Neodiprion lecontei: one gene and its partner. The protein of the gene in region 1 interacts with the protein of each later gene in a pairwise test. Links are inferred from orthologs where the notes say so. Each region holds a gene or a part of one and is shown on either strand. Other genes may lie near its edges.

Region 1 (3,758 bases):
TTTTTTCAAATTTTTCTCTTTTCAATTCTGTTTCTTTTTCTTTAATGCATTCTATTATGTTTTTATATGCCAAGGGTGAAAATTCAAAGTAATGTCCATTATATGTTCCCGCCCGATGGGTAAAAAGGGAATGCTCCGAATTGAAAGTTGACAGGCGTTTTAGGTGAAGCGCAGGCGTAAAGGAAATCATCCGTCTGCAATTGAGTTCGATTTAAATTTGGTTCCGAAGCTGATCTGGTTATCTTAGGCAAACCCTGAATCAAACCTTCCAAGCTAGCTAAAATTTGTCTAAATATCGGTCTTTCATCTCTGGAAAATTTTATACAGTCTTCCGTCAGGCGTTTCAAAGCCTTCGGAGTGTCCGATCTGAGTTTGTTCAAATCAGGACGCAGGTAGCCTCTCCCAACCATGAAGAGAATTTGATCTTTGTTGTTATTGTTACAATAAGGTAACTGTCCGGTAAGCAGTTCGAAAAGTACCACTCCGAAAGCGTAAACGTCGGACTGATAACTGTAGGGATTTTCTTCCTGCATTCTGATAACCTCGGGTGCCATCCATAAAATGGAACCAGTCGGTTGGTGAAATTGCTGAGATCCAGACCACCTTGTCTTCGCTGTTGCCAGTCCAAAATCACCAATCTTCACAGTCAAGTCATCGTGCAAGAATATATTGTTGCTCTTCAAATCCCGATGAATGATGTTCTTTGCGTGTAGATAATCCATACCCTGTGCAGTCTGTCTGCCAATTTCAATAAGTGTCAAAAGTTCAAACTTGGATTCAAAAACATGGAGGTGTTTGTACAAAGACGATCCCTCGCACCATTGAGTTACTATGGCGAGCTGGGGTTTACTGACGCAACCCATAAACAGGAGTATATTAACATGACGAGTTTTCCTGAGCACTGCAACTTCATTTTTAAATGCCTGGAGTTGAGCCAGTGTTGGAATTTTAACGTTCAAAGTTTTCACAGCCACCGGACCGTGCCAATGAGCTTTGTACACCGTCCCGAACGATCCTGAACCGATGCGAGGTCCCACCAATATTTCATCGGCCGGAATCTCCCAGTCTTCGATCGACTCTCTGGGGGCCAATAAATTTTTCGAAGATTCGTCAGCCGACCTTGCCCTTGGCCGTTTTGGCCTCAACGTACTCGTCGGACTCGCCTGCGTCGATTGACTGTGCTTGGTCGGACTGCTTCCAGGTGAAACCGGACTCTGAGTGTTACCAACCGGCCTTCCCAGGCTTTGAGATCTGGTGTAATCCTCGAGAGACGAGGGATCGCTCCCTGGTTTAACCATGTTGAAGCAGACATTGGGAGCGGAACTGGAGCGATCTTGCTGCCCCAAGGTTCTGGGATGTCTGTGACTTCTGACAGGAGCCAGAGACGGAGACATGCTTCGACTTAGACCATAGCCAGATGGAAGTTGGAGTATTCCAGCAGTAGTTTCGGGGTTGTGAGCCAGAAGAGCCTGGTAGTAAGCATCTTGCATGCGAACCTGATGACACAGCGCCGGAACACCGCCGGCACATCGTTGATGAAATCTGTAGTTACAAGTCCGGCAATAGAATCCTTGAAAGAGAAGTTTTCTACAGAATTCGCAGAACGCCAATGAGAAAAATGTCTTTCTAGCAAAATTGTGCGATATAGAAGTCGTTATAGGAAATTTATCCAATATCTCGACCGATATCTCGTCGCATTCCAAAGACGAAATGTCCGTGTCCCAGGGAATCGGTATCTTGGTATCGTTGTGTCCTATTACATAGACCACGCACATTTCCGGCGTAAGATTTCGCAGCTTCATCGCCTTGGCGAGGGCGTCTCTGAGCGAAAGTCCCTCTTTGACTTGGACGCTGGTGCGTTGCTGATTGGGTAGATGAGCGCGTAGCAAAGACTTCAGCGGGGTTCTCGGGTCTGGTTGTCTGGATGGTGTCTGAACCTCGTAGTCAATGTTAACACTAGCGGTAGAGTTCAGGAGCTCGTTGAGCTTCTGTTCCTTGGATTCGAGCTCGTGCAGCTTGCTGGTGAGTTCCTGATACTCGGTGAGGTAGATCGGAGGCGGGTGTTGAAAGCCGGCGAACTTGTTATTGAGCGCATCGATGTTCTGCCTCGTGACATGGATGACACTCTGGATATTTTTCAACTCGTATCTGAGGGGATCCGTCTCGAGGTAACAGTCTTCGAAATCACTCAAATCGGCGTTGTTGCCTGAGTATCCCTGCGACATGGTGTTTGAATGGTCATTACCATTACCACGGGACGGTGTCGTGTACGAAAACGTCGGTACTCTACCATGGACGAATCTTACTTCCCTAATAACTGCCATTTTCTAACGAGACCCACCTGACGCAGGTTGTTTTGTTTTCCTCGCAATGAACGTCGGCGGCGACGACATCGTGTTTAGCTAAATGGCCTTGCGAATTTAGCCGCCTATCTTCCTCCTTCTCCGCCACCTCCTCCTCCTCCTCCTCCTCCCCCCCCCTGCTCGGCCGCCAATATCTTCACCTTTTAACGCGATATAATTACGCACCGTTGGATATCACTTCACCCGACACCCGTCACTTTATATTTAAGTACGCGCCAACGATTGTTTAAACAATATTTATATTATTGCGGGTCGCACGATAATCGAGACTCTGAAAAACTCAACAATAGGCCAGTGTCAACGGCGGCTGCTTTCGCTGCCTTATTACTCTAAACTCTTGCGCAGAACCCGAACGGCGAACCGAACCGACACGGAAACTCCCGAGTTCTGTGTGTCCAGCGCCTCCGATACGTATATGGGTCATTCCACGTCAACGGTATAACGTGTATACCGTTTTCGAAAATTCATTACTAGACGGGTTTTCAAACATCATTTTGTATCAACCCTATGAAGAGTATGTCTGGCGGAAGGAGGGTTCGGAACGAGAATAACATTCCTCATTTCGCTTATTGTCAATCACGTGATTAAAGACGTGAAATAATCTTTTTCCATGCATTATTTTATAATCTTTAACTATCCGTATAATATTGCAGTAGTCGTTCCAATAGTTTCGTAATATTCAACATTTATGGTTGAAATGGATTGAAACGAATTGAAATTGTAAAAACAATCGTTTGGAAGTGAACATTTTATGCGAAGAATATGAACGATTTAGGATATTATAATGTGGATCTCGGGTGAAATTCATATTGAAAGGGAAAACAATCGAAATATACTATAATATCAAGAATTGGTTTGTCTGAAATACTGTTAACTACTTTTTTTATCTGCTATCTAGAGTTTGTGTTCAATTCGAACGTTGAGAATTAAAAGCAGAACGGATGTCAATGCGCGGTTGATGCTTAGTAATGAGAACCGTGAATAGTCGATAAAAAGAATAGAATTCCATAGAAATTAGCGGTCGAGTTTGTGGTTAGTTGAAAATTCCAAGACATGCATTTATATGCACGGTTAATATAAAAAAAAAATACACGTTTCAATTCTTTTATGTTCGTGGAACTTGAATTTTTATTCCATTATAATCACAAGACGATGTGCAAAAAATTTCGTTACAGACAAAATCCGAGAACAGATTAATTCGGTACAATATAATTTGGATACGTGCGTCAGGTTTGACCGCGGTTTCTTCACGTAATTTGTGAAAAGACTCCAGTTCCTTTCTGATTCTTTGGTTTTTTAATAATATCTCAACCAAATAATTTTGAATTACACTTTAAACTTTCCGGATAATTTCCGGGGGTGCAACCCCGATTTTTCTGATACCGACTTATATAT
Region 2 (3,758 bases), on another chromosome or scaffold:
ACGAATTTGATTAAAATTGAACTGTATATACATTTACGATTGCATATTTATTACGTTATATTTAATATTCTTATTAATAGTTTTTATTTTATATTATATTCATATCTTAGGCTAACATATTTTTTATGTATAAACTTTTGAAGTAAGTTATATGAAATGTAAATTTATTTTATTTTTACTTTCTTCCCTAAGGCCTGTAACAGAATTTTAAGGGGTAAGCATAACCTTCGAAAAACGAGTCTATTTTCCATATTTCTTTTTCACTCAGGTATTCGGGTGCCAAGATTGAACTTTTGCACACAGTTAATACGTAGTATTGAAATGTCTCGTTTTTGTTTTTTTTTTCCTATTGCAAAAAATTCATAAAGAACATATTTATTGTTATATAAACAATGCGCTGTAGATGCCGCACGACTCGTTTACGGACATGATTACGGCAACTAGAGTGATCTAAAATGAAAAATGGAAAACTCTACTTTTGGTACAATGATGAAGCTGCAAAACCTTCGGTTACTTTTTTAAATCGAATTTCATTAGACCCGTATTCTTTTTCCGTTCCATGATCCGCGTTTCCAAGACATGCTGTGATCTTAGGCTGTAAATACGTCTGATTCGCAATCGAATTCAAAGCAAGTCAAGCCTACAATTAACACTATATGTCACTATCGTCGAATACGTGTTTTTTTATGAATCAGATTAGGGTGCCTAGGGGTCAAAATTATTTCATTCCGTTATTGTTTTACGAAAAATGATGGTATCCTCTAATAATACGTGAAGAGTGGCCGATTCCTACTTTGTTGACCAACATGTAGATGGCAACATATCTTGTTATCTATTTTACCGGTAGTGATTCGAACTGGGTGAGTTTTTTGTGACTACCACTCACTAATGGCAGTAGCGAAGTGGGCTGTGGCCTTAGAGCATATAGTCCTGGTATACCCTTTCGCATAAGTGGAAAACGGTACAGAGAGGGAAATAGTAATACTACATCCCTTCTCTGTCTCGCAGGCTCCGATTGGCCGACTTACGCTAGTGCTCCGAGCACTCACGCTTGTATCACAGGATCCCGGTTCCTGGCTGTAAAGGCTTTAATAGTTTGTTTTGCTCGTAGTGCATACCAGGAGCATCAGAAGTTCGAGTGCTGCTATTAAGTTTAATTTATTTACTAAAATCATGCCATTGAAACGTCGCGTTTCCATCACACTTTATGGAGAAAATGCCCGTTCCACATTCATAAATTAAAATTTTTCATTTAAAAATATGTTAAATACTGATATTATTAACTGTTTGTTTCAATAACCTTATCTACTAGAAATCAGTGTATGTGTATACATATCCGGATTATATCCACGCAATGCGCGGGGCACTCAATTACGACAGGTACGCTCTTGCCGCAGACAGAGCGCGCATGTAATATTACGATGTCTCTCTCTGTCACTGACTCGGAGACAGTTTTCCAGCGTCGATGCTTCCTCAATGTCTATATGCTCTAAGGCTGTGGCAGGCGACACTCATCAAAACAATTAATTTTATTAAATTAATTTATACTTTTAAGCTCGAGCGAGTGACTAAACAATTGTCGTGACAAAAGAATTTGAAAATAAACTCTGTAGTGAAATGCCCTGCAAGCTTTAGTAAGTATATGAAACATTTTTATCCTCAACTTCAAGTTTACTTTGCCCTGTTTAGTGTTACTTTTTTTTTCTTTCTTCACAACTCATATCCTATTTCTCACTTACAGATCGTTGACAGATTAGAAAATGCAAATCTGATGTAACCAATCGACAGATAATAACAAAATATCGTTTATCATCATCGTAACTCTAATCAACTACCGTATTTTACAATACGATTGTGCGAATAACCTTTAATAAGTTTTTCATTAGCTCAAAATACCCAATCAATATAACACAAATTTAAATACCACTTTCTTATTTCTCGAAACATTTGCAAGATTAATTTCAGCATTTTTCCTTTGCTTTCGCGAACTTTCTATGGGATACTTCATAATATCCATCCTTGAGACATAAATAGGTAGATAGAATCTCTTACAATTAGTGAAGATCAATTGCTCTCCATCATCTTTGTTGAAGATTCTTTTTTCACTTTGCAGGTATCTTTTTTCAACCAGTGTACGACCCAGCATCATTCAGGTCCGGTACTTTGGTTCAAGTTGAGATTTACTAAAAAGACTGTCATGACGGAATACAAGCTAGTTGTTGTAGGGGCTGGAGGTGTTGGCAAGTCAGCGCTCACCATACAACTAATTCAGAACCACTTTGTAGATGAATATGATCCAACAATAGAAGACTCTTATAGAAAACAGGTAACTAACATTTGGATTCAAAAATTTTGTCGCATAAGTTATACAATTAATTTTTTTTTCAATCAAAGTTATCTTCAATGCACTAGAAATAGACAAATACTCTTTATTTTTAGCTTAATTATTTTCATATTTTTCAGGTTGTTATAGATGGGGAAACTTGTTTGCTGGATATTTTAGATACCGCTGGCCAAGAAGAGTATAGCGCAATGCGGGACCAATACATGCGAACTGGTGAAGGATTTCTACTAGTCTTTGCTGTTAATTCGGCAAAAAGTTTTGAAGTAAGTACAATACTGCATTTCGATACATTTATTGTTTAGTAAGCTAGAAAATTATTAATCTTCGCGATGTTTACTTACAAAATAATGTAGTTAGTAAAAATCACAGTAACCAAAAAAAATCACACAGTTGTCTTGTCTCAATTAACCTGATCATCAGATATCCCTTGAGTCTGTAGCAAAGCTTTTCACACTTGCAATGATATCTTCTCAGCTTATCAATGTGACAAGTATTTATAACTTGAGAGTATGAATCAAGAGGTTTTATTGTAATTAATTACAGGGTATAGTAAAGTTTGTCATATTTAAGCAATTTTTTCCATTCTTTTATTTTCTTCACTATAATTACACTGACCTAACTTTGGTTGCTTTCTTCGCATTACACAGGACATTGGAACATACAGAGAACAGATAAAACGTGTCAAAGATGCCGAAGAGGTGCCAATGGTGTTAGTTGGGAATAAATGTGACCTTCAGTCATGGGCTGTAAATATGACGCAAGCGAGAGAAGTAGCTCGTCAGTATGGTGTACCATTCGTTGAAACTTCCGCAAAAACTAGAATGGGAGTAGACGACGCTTTCTATACTCTAGTAAGCAAAGTGATTCATAGTAAAAGATGAAAAAGTGTGCAAGTGGTAAAAAATCTTACTGGTTATCACTTATATCTTTCAGGTTAGAGAAATCCGAAGTGATAAAGAACAAAGAGGCAAAGAAAAACGAAAGCGTATGAGAGCAAGAAGTTCTGGACGCCGAAGGCATCGCTGCTGTCTTCTGTAAATGGTTAACTAATTTCTGTTACCTTTATATACTATACAAGCGCGAGTATAATGTAAAAAGAAAAAAAAACCGTTGGGTTAATTAACTGTGTCGCACATTAGTGCAGTTCACTTTGAAACGCGAAGTAAAGCTGCCACCACAACATTTTTTAAAACGATTGATGTATGATTGTACAATATTACACAATACATTTTTACTCGTAGTATCAAATCTTATCTTACAAATAATGATAACATTTTACTGGATTAACTATCTATATTTCGAAACTTTATTTGGGTTTTGACCATTCTTAAGCTAAGTATGAAAAATTATCTCTTAAGAACTTGTTAAATAATGTAATCGTACAATTTAAAATTATATTCATACGCATAAAATC

Evidence for each region.
Region 2: the proteins of raf homolog serine/threonine-protein kinase Raf (region 1) and ras-like protein 1 interact in a two-hybrid assay, tested with the Drosophila melanogaster proteins (2 studies listed by BioGRID). The link is inferred for Neodiprion lecontei from reciprocal best matches to the Drosophila melanogaster genes Raf and Ras85D.

The regions. Positions count from the first base shown.
Region 1 is NC_060262.1:27,894,312-27,898,069, forward strand, and holds the start of raf homolog serine/threonine-protein kinase Raf, read right to left. Parts: upstream 2,713-3,758; 5' UTR 2,325-2,712; coding exon 99-2,324; 3' UTR 1-98.
Region 2 is NC_060265.1:20,933,123-20,936,880, reverse strand, and holds ras-like protein 1, read left to right. Parts: upstream 1-1,436; 5' UTR 1,437-1,634; intron 1,635-1,749; exon of another isoform or gene 1,750-2,034; intron 2,035-2,113; 5' UTR 2,114-2,197; coding exon 2,198-2,326; intron 2,327-2,463; coding exon 2,464-2,607; intron 2,608-2,991; coding exon 2,992-3,195; intron 3,196-3,277; coding exon 3,278-3,382; 3' UTR 3,383-3,526; downstream 3,527-3,758. UniProt on the Drosophila melanogaster protein: Ras proteins bind GDP/GTP and possess intrinsic GTPase activity. Plays a role in eye development by regulating cell growth, survival of postmitotic ommatidial cells and differentiation of photoreceptor cells.